Linked DNA regions of Arabidopsis thaliana. The protein of the gene in region 1 interacts with the protein of each later gene in a pairwise test. Each region holds a gene or a part of one and is shown in the gene's direction. Other genes may lie near its edges.

Region 1 (5,463 bases):
GATCCACATCGGTCCGGCCCAATACTTGGCCCGCCGATCCATGCCCAAACATATCGAGATCAATGGCTAGAAGAACCATCATCTCGAGGGGGCGTATTAGGGATAATATCCCACATCGGAAGTTGAATAAGATCTTAAGTGGTATATATAAGATATGGGCCTCTTCACCTATTGCCAATTGGTTTTAGGTTGGAAACCCACACTCTAATATGGTATCAGAGCCTGATCCGCACATACTCAACCCGATCCACATCGGTCCGGCCCAATACTTGGCCCGCCGATCCATGCCCAAACATATCGAGATCAATGGCTAGAAGAACCATCATCTCGAGGGGGCGTATTAGGGACAATGTCCCACATCGAAAGTTGAGTAGGATCTTAAGTGATATATATAAGATATGAGCCTTTCCATCTATTGCCAATTGGTTTTATGTTGGAAGCCCACACTCTAATAAACTCAATACAAATACTAAAGTTGCAAACAACTATACTATATTTGCTTGAAGTTCTATTGTGATAGGATTTTGACTTACAAAAATCATATTCTATGTCTACACTATATATTGTGAAACCGGATAGCCATAATATTTACAAAAACTTAAACTAATTTCAGATATAAATAAATTTAAATTTCACTATGACCTAGTAATTATCACGAACAATTGGGAAGTTACCACAAAATGGTGGTCCTGTATTATGGAATTTAGCGAAACCACACACTTGCGGGTAAAAATAATGATGACAAAATGATATACATTGGAATGTAGAGAAAGTATATACAAATACTAATAAATAGAAAAGGGCATGGAATTGACGAGGATCGAGGGAAAGTGTGGTGTGGCAGAAATGTTATTAAGTGTGAAAACAACTGATGAATGAGCCTTTGCTTAATCACTTCCATGCACAAGTCCCTTTCCTCTTCCTCTCTCTCCCACTTCATCGAACTTTGCGTCCTTTAAAGAAAAGAAAAAACAAAACATTTTTCATCCAATTGAATTCAAACCGTAACCAGATTAGATTTAACTTCGTTTATTTTACATTATCTTCTTCTTCTTATTTTGCGGAGAAGACTTGTACAATGACCTCAATACGCTGAAGAGTTGGATTCACTGCGAGTGTATATGTGCATATAGAAACAAAATATCTAGCTATATGACCACTTTTAACTCTAAATATGGGTGTAATATGCCAAGGACTTTCTGGAGATCCACCACAACACACATTCAAGTTCAAGTTCTGCTGCTTTTAGGTCTATGAAAACAACACCAACCTTATTTTCATATTGTTCTCTCTTTATCTCATGCATAAGTATATTTTCATATTGTTCCCTCTTTATTTTCATGCTTTTAGTTGATATTTTTTTTGTTATTGTATTATCATTAGTGCGACGACACAAAGTCACAAACCATGTAACAAAATGCTTAACCAAAATAGAAAACCTTAACAATTCCAATATATTTTCTGTTATTGCATTATCAATTATCATCAAATTTTTTTCCACTGTTGCATTATCATCATTGCGACGACACAAGGTCACAAACCATGTAACAAAATGCATAACCAAAATAGAAAACCTTAACAATTCCAACTTTAACATGTGAATTAATATTATCTTAATTTTTGGATGTTCGACATTCAAATAAACTCCTAATTAAACCCTATAGATATGGTTAATCTTCTATACATGTGTCACGTACGACACTTATTAGCCAAATTGAAGTTTTGTTTTTTCCGCAAATATATAAGCGGTTTAAATAGTTGGTAAAAAAAAAAAAAAGTTAGCATGTTTGTCGTATGTACATGTTTGATGCTGCACAAATCTTGTCGTTATAAAACTTTGAAATCTTTATATCTATTATTCCTCACCGATCGGCTACTAATTCAATGGTACTTGATAATGATAATTAGTCCCAAAGTAGAGTTTTTATCTGATTATATAGAAACAAAGACTAGTTCCGGTTTGATATATAGAAGAAAGAAAAAGGATGGATAGGAATAATAAAGAAGATAAACCGGTTCAAAAGGTAGTAAATGAGAATGCAGGTATGCAGCTTATCTCTACAATGGCCTCTTCATCACATGTCGCCAATTTGTTTAGGTACAGTGTCTCTTCATATTTACATAAATAGATATCTCTCTCTCTCTCTCTCTCTAAACCACATCTTCCTCTCCACCGTTCTTTCTCTTCCTTCTCTCTCTGGACTTCAACTTCTGGAGAAGTACAAGACATTTATAAAGTACTGCTCATCACCCAACACTAAACACAATTGTCAAAAGGGTGTGGTGGAAGGAGAATCTACTTCTATCTGAACATCGATCAGTCATATCTTTTCAATCAAATCAAAGCCCTCCTCTCTCTCTTACTCCTTTTTTGTTTTAAATCAAGAAAAAGACTCCATGTCGAGCATGTCCATGTCGTCCTCCTCAGCTCCAGCTTTTCCACCGGACCACTTCTCATCTACGGACCAGCTCTGTTACGTCCATTGCAGCTTCTGCGACACTGTCCTTGCTGTAAATTTTGGATTATTCTTATATCTCATCTCAATATTTCAAATTTATAACTCTAGCTAGGGTTTCACATGAATTACTAGTTAATTAATGTGTGATATTAATTGGCAGGTGAGTGTTCCTCCGAGTAGTTTGTTCAAGACGGTGACGGTCAGATGCGGCCACTGTTCGAACCTTTTGTCGGTGACCGTGAGCATGAGAGCTCTTCTTCTTCCATCCGTTTCCAACCTTGGCCATTCCTTTTTACCTCCCCCTCCTCCTCCTCCTCCTCCAAATCTTTTGGTACATCGGTTTCATTCATCGAAACAAATTAGGGTTCTTTCATAAAAAAAACAGAGAGTAATAATTAGGGCTTTTCTTCTCGAGAAACGCAAAATTGTGAAACTCAATCCAAAAATGTTTAATTTTGTTAGCATCCCGGGATAGATCTAAGTAGTTTGGCAATGGCTAGTTAACTAGGGTTTCTTTCGAAAACATCATATCAAAGTAGTTTGGTTTGATTAGTGTTTTAAGTTTTTTTTGCCAATTAGTTTGCTGATTTCATTTATTAGGAGGAAATGCGAAGCGGAGGGCAGAATATAAACATGAACATGATGATGAGCCATCACGCTTCAGCTCACCACCCGAACGAGCATTTGGTTATGGCGACTCGCAACGGAAGATCAGTGGATCATCTACAAGAGATGCCTCGGCCACCACCAGCCAATAGACGTAACCTTCCATCTTCTACTCTTTATTTCAACATCTTCATATATATATATATAAGAAAACAAAAACCCTAATTCACAAAACCTTATCCATTCATTTCTTCAACCTTTTATATATACACTCCAAAGAATCTCGTTTGTTTATAATGAATTTATAAGTTTTGATTTCATTTTTGTTCCCTCGGTATGTGACTTCTCGCATGCACTTTTTTTTTGGTCAGAAAACAATTTCGACAACAAAAGGAAAATTAATAAGTGATGTGTTTATCCCCCGGAAATCTAGCTAAACCTATAGATGCCAACTGATATAGTTTTGGGGGTAGATCGTAAGAAAGATAATGATGAAGTGATGATGATAACGAGCAAAGTGAGAGGGAGAGGGAGAGAGAGAAAGGAGGAAGAGTCGAAGAGTGATTGTTTTTTTTTTTTTAATTGTTTTTTTTTGGTGAATTTTTAGATTTTTTGGGGAGGCACAATAAAAACCAATAATGTTTTTTTTAACAAAAGGGTTTGATTTGGAATTAAAATTGAATATGTTCTGTTTGTTTGTTTGTGGAAAAGCAGCCCCAGAGAAGCGACAAAGAGTACCATCTGCATACAACCGATTCATCAAGTAATAAGTTTATTCCTTTGCTTAAAATGGCATAATTAAATTTCCCTAATTAACCATTTTACTCATATAATTAAGGGTCGATAGATGTGACAGATTTGATTTCATTATATGATATAAAAATAAAAATGTTGACAGAGAGGAGATCCAACGTATAAAGGCAGGCAACCCTGATATCAGCCACAGAGAAGCCTTCAGTGCTGCTGCCAAAAACGTACCATTTCTTTTTTTAATATATAAAACTAATTTTCTATATTGCATTATATCCATAATCATACAATCTCATTTTAGTCTTTATGAATTGAACCTAGCTAGATTATTGTGGAGCTACATTGATACTCACATTGCTTTAAATTAAAAACATAAAACAAAATAGTTACCGTAATAATCCATAATTCATAAGCTTTATCCAGCATACATTAGCTAGGACTAGCCTTAGGATCTACGATCTAGGGTTTCAGTAAAGTTCCCTAGCAGATATTTTAGTCTGGCTTTGTATTCGTATATTTTTGACCAAGTTTTTATGTTATGTATAAGATAAATACACATTAATGTTAAAAGAGCTAAGTATATGATGTAATATGTATGAAACAGTGGGCTCATTTCCCTCACATACACTTTGGACTCATGGCTGACCATCCTCCCACGAAGAAGGCTAACGTGCGCCAACAGGTTACTTACTACTACTACACTATATTTATTTATTCAAATGTATATAATCAGGAGCATGCATGCATTGATCATCAAAACATAATCGAGATATTTTATTTTGGTGTAATGAAGGAAGGAGAGGATGGGATGATGGGAAGAGAAGGGTTTTACGGTTCAGCTGCCAACGTTGGGGTGGCCCATAACTAGCTACGAAGACTTTCCCAATCTTTTGTAATCTTCAAAATGTGGTTACTTTCAGCTCAAACTTAACTTTCTTATTACTATTTTATGATATTTGATAATCGATCAGGAGACCTTTTTTTTTTTTCTTAAAGAAATTTTCGGAACTACTAGAATTTTCTCTTGGAATTGAAAATATATTGTTTTCTCAGTTGCCGTGTTATATATTTAATATCAAAAGCATGCAGTAGCTAAGCTAGCTAGGCTTTACCATACGTTAATGATACTGTCTTTTTCTCTTTACAATTCCATATTCGAATTTGATTTGTATATAACATATTGGGAAGAATCATCAATATGTATTCAGCTCAAAAGAATTCAACAAAAAAAAATGCCTATTATCAATAAAAATTCACTGGGCTTTAGAAGGCCCACAATAGTATAATGGATCCTTTTTGTTGGGCTTATTTCAGTCAGGGAACAATAGCCTTGATTTTGTTGGGCTAACCGCTAACGCATTAAAAAAATCACGGTCAATCGGTGATCGTCAAATCTAGTTACGTGGCATTTAATATTTAAAACTACAAAATTTACCAGTCTTGGCTCAAAAAAATATTTATTCACTTTTCTTCTTCTCTGACCAAAATCAAAATTTGTTCGATTCTCATTCTTCTTCTCACAGTCGTAAACCCTAAAAAAAAAACAGAGAAATCAAATTTCAATCTCGAAGGATCTACAAAGAAGCATGACGACCGGAGATCTCGTTAATATCCATCCTACTGAGCTTAAATTCCCCTGTAAGTTTTT
Region 2 (5,166 bases), on another chromosome or scaffold:
TTGAATTGTGTATATATATCAACAAAACGAATTGAAGTGTTGTTTTGGACGAGTGTATATATATCTACTTTATTAAAGAAAATTGTTTGTAGAAGACAACATCACCTGCAATGCTTTATAATTCTAGTGTTCTTGTTTTTCTTTTACAGGGATTAATTTCCAAAACTTTTCTTTCGTTCGCCAGTTTAGTTTCTTTTATTTGGAATTTTGTATTTTACTTTGGTTCCTATAGGCTACGCGTAACATTGGCACATACTACTTTTTCATGTATGTAAGTAATTTCTGTAAAAGGCTACATTAAAGTCAATACTCTCCGTTTTGGGTTTCAGTGAAATCTAAAAAATGTCAATTTTACTTTTGAAGTTGCAACTTTCAGATAGCAACAAGAGCGAACGAGACAAATGCCTCAGGTTTCAGTGTACAGCTCCACTAAATGGTTTTCGGGTGCTATTATTTGTTTCATATAAATACATAAATACTACTCCATTTTTTCTAATTTAATGAGTAGTATTAACAAAAAAAAGAGTTATAGATAATGCTAAGTCTAAAGACCGGGGTAAATTCAAGGTAATACAAGTCAACAACTAAAAAAAACTAATTAAGGTAGTGAATTGAGTTCACGCAATTAAATAAACTAGTTAAACGAGTAATTTGGACGAGGGTGAAGTTGCTACATGATCATAGTGGAGTTTAATTTACAAAAGAATAGGATAACAAAACTATATATATATATATATATATAACGTAGTGTCAAATAAATTAATTAGTGTGTTATTTTCAAATATACCCATAAAATCCTTTTATTTTCTAAAGAAAACACAAAATAAATAATCGAATTTAAGTATGATTTTTATCCATTATTTTTGCCAAATAGAGGGTTCTTTACTGCATATATTCCTTAAATAAAGGAAAGAGGTGACTATTATCCTAATTTCTTAAGTAAGAATGCGATTGTGAAAGTTTTGATATATCCAACTTTACAAAAAAAGAAAAAAAAGCATTGCATGTGATGAGAATCCATCTCCCCCATCCTCCCACCCATTCTTTCCAACTCAACCATCTCCTTTCTCTTCCTATTAATAAAGTATCATCTTCTTTTTGTTTCTCTTTTTATTTTTTAATGAAAAATAAAACTTTTAAAAAAATTTGTATTTACTTCAATTTTCTTACAGTTCCACTTGGATAGACAAATGCCCTTTAATGAGATGGTGGTGGACTTTAAGTATATGTTATACGCACAACACACACACACACACACACTTTTATAGACATGTTTTTTAATAAAGAAAATTCTTTCGAACATATTCCAGATCTCTAATTTTTCTTTTGTTTGAGATGTTATATAGAATTGGTCTCAGCTGACACTCAAAAACCAGATCTGACTCTAGGGTTTTGTGTTTGTTTTTTGTTTTTCTTGTAAGAAAAACTATATATTGGAAATTTTCTGATTCGTCTCACTTGTGGGCACAGTATTCATATTTGATTAAAACCTATTTCTTATATAAAAAGGCATGAGATGATGGCACCACATTGTATATTTGTATATATACGGAAACATAAATTGGGTATATGCATGTGTCTTATATTCAAAACAAATATTCTCAAGTCCCTTCCCTTTTTAATTTACACCAGCCCTATAGCTAAAGGCTACACATATATACATTTGTCACCATTAAAAAACATGTACTGTTAAACATCAAATTTCCAAGATTCCGTTTATATTTTTCACCTATCCTTTTTTTTATTTATCTTTGAAAAACAAAACTTACTCACTCTGATCGAATATTTTATGATATGAAATAATAATGACTTGTAATTGTTGTGTAGTGGAAGGGGATGTTTTTTTGTTTCTTGTCCTGATGCTAATGTGGGCTCCAAGCTCCTTGTCCCACTCTCTTTATATGTATAAACATCTCTCTCCATAGATATGTTTTGTGTTTGTAAACAAACAGTGTACAGATAGAGAAGAGAGAGGTTCATAACTACTCTGAAGAAGATTGAAGCACCAAAGACCATACAATGCATTTCTCCATCTAAGGTGAGAGGTCAATGAAACAATTAACAAAAAGTTGAAAGTTTCATTTATTTTTTTCTTTTCCAAGAAAATTATAAAAAGTTGGATAGTAAAAGGGAACAGAAAAGCTATTATCCCTTTATGTGAGAAAAAAAATAAAGATGATTTCAGAAAAACAAAGCCCTTTGTTTCTCTCTCTTAACTCATCTTATACTTTCTTCTTCTATTAGTAAAGATGAGTACTCTCTCTACCAAATAAATAAGGAAACATAAAAAACAATCTCTCCTTCTTTCTCTACATGAAAAACAAAAGATTCCTCAATTTTGTTCTTATTTTTCATTTAGTCACAGTACCTCTCTCACTATAAACCACACTGTCTTGAGATAAAATACAAAAAGAGAAGAGATTAAAAACCTCATCCGATGATAGACTACGAGAGAAGCAATACCACCAAGAACATCAACACCCATCATCACAACCCTCCTCCATCTTCATCTTCCTCTGATCTTCTTCCCGACGGTAATGGAACCGCCGTGACTCAGAAGCGGAAACGGAGACCCGCCGGGACACCGGGTATTTAACAATTTTCTTATCAAGAATTACTAGTTGTTAGATTCTATATCCGGAAAGTTATCAAATAGTTCTGTTAAAGATTTTGATTTATCCGGTGGCAGATCCGGAGGCGGAGGTGGTATCTTTATCACCAAGAACGTTACTAGAATCGGATCGGTACGTATGTGAGATCTGTAACCAAGGGTTTCAAAGGGACCAGAATCTACAGATGCATAGAAGACGACATAAAGTTCCATGGAAGCTTCTTAAAAGAGAGACCAACGAGGAAGTGAGGAAAAGAGTCTACGTCTGTCCGGAGCCGACATGTCTCCACCACAACCCTTGCCACGCGCTCGGAGATCTCGTGGGAATCAAGAAACACTTCCGACGGAAACATAGTAACCACAAGCAATGGATCTGCGAGCGATGCTCAAAAGGCTACGCAGTTCAATCTGATTACAAAGCTCATCTCAAAACCTGTGGCACTCGCGGCCACTCCTGTGACTGCGGCCGAGTTTTTTCCAGGTTCCATTCCTTAGTAACAAACCCTAGCTTTTTAATTTTTATTTTTATTATATATTTAGGATATATATTTATCGGAATCCTTAAAGTAAATCAAAGAATGTTTTTTCTAGTATGGCGTGTCCATGTTTTGATTTTTAGATAACGCACATAGATCTTGAAACAACGTTTACTAATGGAACCTGATGAGGTTTGTTTGGATGTACTGTTGTCTGAAAATACTTTTAATTAATTTAATAATTAGGAACTATGTTTTGATTACTCACGTTGACCCCATAATAGATTTCATTATCAAACTTTGTTAAGTATATACCATACTAAACCTCGAAGTCTTGCATATCTCATACTCAAATATATAATCCAAAAGATACCTAACTCCACTAACTTAATTATTTATATTATCTGTCACGAGATACAAATATTCCTTTGTGCTTTCCATTTTAGTTTAACTTATATAATACACTCTTATTTCTCAGAGTGGAAAGTTTCATAGAGCACCAAGACACTTGCACCGTACGCCGATCCCAACCCTCCAACCACCGTTTACATGAGCAGCAACAACATACCACAAACGCTACACAAACCGCTTCAACCGCGGAAAACAACGAGAACGGGGACCTCTCCATTGGTCCTATATTGCCTGGACATCCTTTACAAAGAAGACAATCCCCACCGTCGGAACAACAACCATCCACTTTGCTCTATCCCTTCGTTACTAATGGTAGTATCGAGCTTCAGCTACTTCCATCGAGGAATTGTGCTGATGAGACCAGCCTTAGTCTGTCTATAGGGACAATGGATCAAAAGACAATGTCGGAAGTTGAGAAGAAGAGCTACGAGAAGGGAGAAACGAGCCTAGAAAGAGAGGAGGCGAGAAGAGAAACAAAGAGGCAGATCGAAATCGCGGAATTGGAGTTTGCTGAAGCCAAGAGAATAAGGCAACATGCGAGAGCTGAGCTTCACAAAGCTCATCTTTTTAGAGAAGAAGCAAGTAGGAGGATTAGTGCAACGATGATGCAAATAACTTGCCACAATTGCAAGCAACATTTTCAAGCTCCGGCTGCTTTGGTTCCTCCTCCTCCTCAGACGCATTGTACCGATGAGAGCACGTCTCTGGCCGTGAGCTACATGTCTTCGGCGACTACCGAAGGAGAAAAGGCGAGTGATAGAGCATCTTCATAGACCTTGAAGAGAGAACACAAAAGAAAACAAATATTCTTCTTTTTTTTCTTTGATTGGAATTAAAGATCATCTTTTGATATTCGTTGGTTTTCTTACATATTCTTGGTTTGTGGGTTACCAGGTTTGGGTATTCACTGGGGGTTTGATTTTTTTTCTCTCAAACAAAAACCAAAGAAGAGAATAGTTTTTGTTGTATGAATTGTCTTGGGTCTGTTGGTTAACGTAATGTAATGAACGGGTTATAATTCTCAAGCATTCGTTAATTAGTTAGCTACAGAAATGTTGTTTTTCCATAGAGATAACTGATCTTAATTTTCAGTTTGGTTTGAGACTTTGAGTGTTTTGGATTTTATAGTTGAACTATTGTGACTTAAAAGTATTACCAATTCCTATTGTTCACACGAATATCTGCATTTTTCTTTTCTTTTCAGTCAATTATTTGCATTAAATGCAAGGGATAATAATTAGGTCAAATCGTGAGTCAAATTCTCAGGTAGAAACTAGAAACAATTCGCTCCATATCCCACGTCCGTGTAGACTGTAGTTTGAAATCGTCTAATTGAATGGTAAAATATTAAAATCTAATTCGATTAATTGTAGATTTTATTTGGATTTTGTGGGTTTTTGGTCTCAATGTGACCAAACAAGAAATCATATATTTTTACGTGAAGACAAAATCTCATGAGATATCTTTTGACCCTTATAGTTTGATGTGTTTTTCAAACACATAATAATAATATTTTTTTTAATGAATTTGAATTCATTAATAAAGTATGAGAGAGTTTGTAGAATATACCACCAAAAAAAAGATATTTAAAAAAAAAAACAAGAAAGAGCTAATGCAACAACAAACTGATTTGGTTTTCTCGATTAAACTTTAGGTTTATAGAAGAAA
Region 3 (5,308 bases), on another chromosome or scaffold:
TAACCTTGGATCAACCACTAGGCCATTGTCGATTTATTTTTGACTATTAAAAATCAGACTATTGTATTTCATTTAACATGTTTTTGTTTCTTTTTGAATTTTTGCATTCATTTAAGATGTTGTGGTCTCTCAAGTCCATATATAACGATTAGAAACTACAAATTTATAATTTTGTAGCTCCGAAATAAATATCATGCATTATGTATCAGCTAGAAAAGATCTAATCAGTGGTAATAATCGATAAGCAAAGGGTTAAGTAAGAGATGGGAGAGTAATCTCATCTTAGGAAATGATTACAAACACGATCTCATTTCTTTCCTTTATACAAAGCTGTCACCGTAGTAACTCGATCACATCTTCTCGTCTAATTTGTTCTGTTTTTCCTTTCGGTCCATTTAGAACCAATTTTTGACAACTGACAAAAAACATTATGAGGTATCTTTTGTTTCTTTTATCTGCAAATTAATTTATTATTCGGCAATAACAAAAATAAAAACAACTAGTAGCGAATAGCGATCAAGCTAAGGAAGGAATACATATGGCATTTACAATTGAAACAGAGAAAATGTGTTAAAGTAACAAAACTTATGATTGAGAAAATTTAAACCATAATTGAAACAGAGAAAATGTGTTAAAGTAACAAAACTTATGATTGAGAAAATTTAAACCATAATAATGATTAATTTTGGTAGTCTACATATGAGTTCCATCAAAAAAAAAAAAATGTTTTCATATAAGATTCATTTCATTCTTGATCCAGTAACATTCTTAGATCTGTTAATGAACCTTCTTAAGGAATGACTGAGAAGAAAGGCAATAGCCTAAAAGGAATCGACAGTGGAGAGTGGAGGGAAAAAGAGGTCACGTGAGTAAGACATAAGGTCACGTGCGCGAGGGATCGAATATGAATTTTACTAAAATAGGGTTTTATAAAAACATACTAATACTACTTTCACATTTACTCTTGGTTTGAATTATTTTTATACGCATGTATAATTTGATATATTTGTCTTTTTTCTTCCCCTAACTATGTATGGGCACTAGTACATCCATTATATAAGCCAAATAGAAAGAAAAAATAATAGTTTGTCTGCATTATTGTAAACTTACAGAATTTGGTATTTAATGCAATAATGCATTTTTATCCTTGGATTATTCACAAGAACCATATACCTTTTTTTTTCTCTCCTTGTTTCCAAGTGTAATTCGAAAAGAATCTTAACATGTATGTGGACCAACGTTGGAAACATGATGACATAACATTCATATATAGTTAACAATGACAATTTTTCTTAAATTGTCTATATATTATTGGATTGCTTTAACAATAATGAAACGCAAGATGTATTAGTGATGTATAATCACACTATTTATAGGACTTGAGAGTGACAGTCAAAAAGTTAATTAGAAGTAATGAAGTATCTTAACCTTATTATTTAATTGCTTCTTACATCATCTAAGAGTTAGCACCGTATCGATATTCATAAATTCTCTCCTAATTTGCAGATACAATACAACTATTGCTATTTTAAGCCTCTAACCTGCATAATATTTTGATGAAAGGCAAGCCTTACATGTGGACGTATGATCTCATATATTTTTTTTTTTCATTTGTTAGAAGAAACTCATGTAGATAATCTCAAACATAAAATAAAATGTTTCAAAAAAAAAAAAAAAAATAGTTTGTGAAGGTTCAAGAAAATCAGACAAATTCATCAATCAGACAAGATATGGGTCCAAGCCAAAAAATTCATATATCCAACATGCTCAAAGAAACAAAGTCTAAAAAATAAATACAAAATAACAAAAAGAAAAATCTAAAATCTACATCTAAATCTAAATAAATACACCACCTTCTCTCTCTCTCTCTCTAGCTACACGAGTGTATGTATACATTTTACGCAATGATGGCATAGTGCAATGAGCTTTATAAGTAGAAGCAATATAGACATCAAAGACCCCTTATTTGCTCTCAACTCTCAAGTGTATGAGAGAGAAATAGGTTTTTGAAGAAGAGTCAAAATATATACCCAAAGAGAGAGCTAGAGAGAGAGAGACTCAAGAAAATTAAAAAGCTTTCATCATATTAACATAAGAGAAACTTTGAAGAGCCTAAGAAAAAGTTTTGAAAAGCCTTTGTTGCAGAAAGCTTAAAAGAACTTTTTCTCTCCCCCTATATCTCTCTTTATCACCCTTCCTCTTCTTTGTAAAGCTGAATCTCCCACTATCTCTTCTTCTTTCATTTTTTTTTTTTTTTGGTCTTTGGGCCTTGTTCTTTCATCAAATCAATCTCTAGAATCCAAATACAATAAAGTCAAAAAGAAAGATCAAGAAAAGTAGAGTAATTGATGAGAACAGATCAAGTGATGTTGTCCAACAAGAACACAAACACATGTTGTGTGGTTTCTTCTTCTTCTTCTGATCCTTTCCTCTCCTCTTCAGAAAATGGGGTCACCACCACAAACACATCCACTCAGAAGAGGAAAAGAAGACCTGCAGGTACCCCAGGTAATAATAAATCCCCACTACAGAAAATTTATTTTTCAAAATCTTTTTTTCTTGTTTTTATTTTCTTATGAAAATTTTCAACTCATGGGTACTATTGTTTTTTGTTTTTTTTTTCTCTTAAACCCCATTAGAAATACAGGTTTATTATAGGTTTAGTTTTAAAATTTCTCTTTTTCTTATTGCCAGTTTCAAAGTTATAGGTACAATTAATGGGTTTTCATTGTTTTTAATTCTTAAACCTCATTTAAAATCTCAACTTTATTAATCAACTAAGACATGTGTTTTGATGGGTTTTGCCTTATCTCCTTTTCAGATCCAGATGCAGAAGTTGTGTCTTTATCACCAAGAACTCTTCTTGAATCAGACAGATACATATGTGAGATCTGTAACCAAGGGTTTCAAAGAGACCAGAATCTCCAGATGCATAGAAGACGTCACAAAGTTCCATGGAAGCTTCTTAAAAGAGACAACAACATAGAGGTGAAGAAACGAGTCTATGTTTGCCCTGAACCCACTTGCCTTCACCATAATCCTTGTCATGCTCTGGGAGATCTTGTCGGCATCAAAAAACATTTCAGAAGAAAACATAGTAACCATAAGCAATGGGTTTGTGAGAGATGCTCTAAAGGTTATGCTGTTCAATCTGATTACAAAGCTCATCTCAAAACTTGTGGTACTAGAGGACATTCTTGTGACTGTGGTCGTGTCTTCTCCAGGTATAATTTCTTGTTCCTCTCTATCATTTGATTTTTTTTTGACCCATTTTATAAATTAATTATTGGTATTATTAATTCTGAAAAGATATGCAAACTTTTGGAAGGATTTGTTAAGTATTTCTAAAATATACAAGTAATTTGACTCTGTTTGTTTTGTATATTTAGGAGATCATATAGAAAGACAAATATAGAAAATTCTTCTAGGGACCAAAGACTAAGATTGATAGTTATAGTACTATTTGATTTGACTATCCTTCATGATTTTTACTAATTCTGTGTATTGATGTGTATGCATCAGAGTTTTTTAATATATCTCTTGACTATTTGTTTGGTTTTTGTGACATAAAAAGAAAGTTAAGCACTTAGATTAATGACATTGACCCCAATCTCTAAAGAAATATTTTATGTATTTAGGTTATTATTGGACCTTTTTTCGACACAAAGGTTATAATTGGACCTAAACTCATATTAATAATATATATTTTTGAGTTCAAAGGTATTTAATAAACGACGTTTAAACAGAAAAACTTAATATAAAATTATTAACTTTGTCACATTTTCATAATCCTACGTCATATAAATTATGTAATTGATAGGTTTCTTTTCTTCTTTTAGGGTGGAGAGTTTTATTGAACATCAAGATAATTGTTCCGCACGGAGAGTTCACCGTGAACCGCCTCGACCACCACAAACCGCGGTAACAGTCCCGGCATGCTCTTCTAGAACCGCCTCAACCGTCAGCACTCCGTCTAGTGAAACCAATTACGGCGGTACAGTTGCGGTTACGACTCCTCAACCTCTAGAAGGCCGTCCAATTCATCAGAGAATCTCATCTTCAATTCTCACCAACTCATCAAACAATCTCAACCTCGAACTCCAACTTCTTCCATTATCGTCGAATCAAAACCCTAATCAAGAAAACCAACAACAAAAAGTTAAAGAACCATCTCATCATCATAATCATAATCATGATACCACAAACTTAAACCTCTCCATTGCACCATCATCATCATATCAACATTACAACAACTTTGATCGTATAAAAGAGATTATGGCGAGCGAGCAAATTATGAAGATAGCGATGAAGGAGAAAGCTTACGCTGAGGAAGCTAAAAGAGAAGCCAAGAGGCAACGAGAGATAGCGGAAAACGAGTTTGCAAATGCCAAAAAGATTAGGCAAAAAGCACAAGCTGAACTCGAGAGAGCTAAGTTTTTAAAGGAACAATCTATGAAGAAGATAAGTTCAACGATCATGCAGGTCACTTGTCAAACATGTAAAGGACAGTTTCAAGCAGTTGCGGTTCCGGCGGCTACGGCTGATGAGACGTCTCTTGTCGTGAGTTACATGTCGTCAGCGAATACTGACGGAGAGTTGGAAAATGGTTTTTAAGTAAAACCGAAGAAAACATAAGATATTTAAATTGAGGTTAACTTTATTATACTTTTGTGTATTAATTACCGGTTGTGTTAATTTTTTCAACTACCATATATTATGTAATGGTTGTTATATAGTTGTTTCTTTGGTCCAACAATATTAGACTATGTTTTGTAACTATGTTACTGTCATTTCCGCCACATTACACTTTAAATTGTTGAAAAATGATTTTATCCTAGGTTTCATATAGAACCTTAAAATTAAATTTTATCAACAAAAAAAAAACCTTGAAATTAACTATTTAAATTTTTATATAGATATTTTTTCGTCTTGAACGTCTACAGTAGTTTAGAAGGAGTTAAGAGTGGAGATCCGTACATGCGTGTTTTGATCTTTGGCCTTAGATTCGCTTAGAACTTTCAATGGATATACAATTTTTTTAATAAAACATGTGATATGCGGATTTGAATTCGGTTAAATATACATTTGCTTATCCTTGATTTGTCTACATTATTTTTGGTAAGCTTGAGGTGATATATTTGAAAACAAATCTCACGTTTTAAGGATCAAAACAGTCCCTGCATGATAGAGATTATCGACATCTAATGTATACCAGTATATTTAGTAAGTTTGAAAGAGGGTAAGTAGTTGCTTGGCACGAGTTGATATATGGAGTGATGGGAAATGTACTATTATGATGTCGTTTTGG

The links. The genes of interacting proteins can lie anywhere in the genome.
Region 2: the proteins of YAB3 (region 1) and IDD14 interact in a two-hybrid assay, tested with the Arabidopsis thaliana proteins (one large-scale study listed by BioGRID).
Region 3: the proteins of YAB3 (region 1) and SGR5 interact in a two-hybrid assay, tested with the Arabidopsis thaliana proteins (one large-scale study listed by BioGRID).

The regions. Positions count from the first base shown.
Region 1 is NC_003075.7:72,024-77,486, reverse strand, and holds YAB3 (Plant-specific transcription factor YABBY family protein), read left to right. Parts: upstream 1-1,910; 5' UTR 1,911-2,397; coding exon 2,398-2,511; exon of another isoform or gene 2,512-2,598; coding exon of another isoform or gene 2,599-2,619; coding exon 2,620-2,790; intron 2,791-3,059; coding exon 3,060-3,219; intron 3,220-3,779; coding exon 3,780-3,828; intron 3,829-3,963; coding exon 3,964-4,039; intron 4,040-4,419; coding exon 4,420-4,497; intron 4,498-4,608; coding exon 4,609-4,683; 3' UTR 4,684-4,942; downstream 4,943-5,463. Other genes in the region: AT4G00170 (Plant VAMP (vesicle-associated membrane protein) family protein), read left to right, coding at 5,402-5,453. UniProt on the Arabidopsis thaliana protein: Involved in the abaxial cell fate determination during embryogenesis and organogenesis. Regulates the initiation of embryonic shoot apical meristem (SAM) development.
Region 2 is NC_003070.9:25,530,047-25,535,212, forward strand, and holds IDD14 (indeterminate(ID)-domain 14), read left to right. Parts: upstream 1-1,961; 5' UTR 1,962-2,437; coding exon 2,438-2,588; exon of another isoform or gene 2,589-2,689; coding exon 2,690-3,092; intron 3,093-3,565; coding exon 3,566-4,271; 3' UTR 4,272-4,632; downstream 4,633-5,166. UniProt on the Arabidopsis thaliana protein: Transcription factor regulating starch metabolism by binding directly to the promoter of QQS. The IDD14beta isoform attenuates the transcription factor activity by competitively forming heterodimers with reduced DNA-binding capacity.
Region 3 is NC_003071.7:430,304-435,611, forward strand, and holds SGR5 (C2H2-like zinc finger protein), read left to right. Parts: upstream 1-1,971; 5' UTR 1,972-2,348; coding exon 2,349-2,508; intron 2,509-2,543; exon of another isoform or gene 2,544-2,708; intron 2,709-2,821; coding exon 2,822-3,208; coding exon of another isoform or gene 3,209-3,224; intron 3,225-3,820; coding exon 3,821-4,614; 3' UTR 4,615-4,774; downstream 4,775-5,308. UniProt on the Arabidopsis thaliana protein: Transcription factor involved in inflorescence stems gravitropism, probably by regulating starch accumulation in amyloplasts of graviperceptive cells. Required for stem circumnutation movements. Regulates lateral organ morphogenesis and gravitropic responses.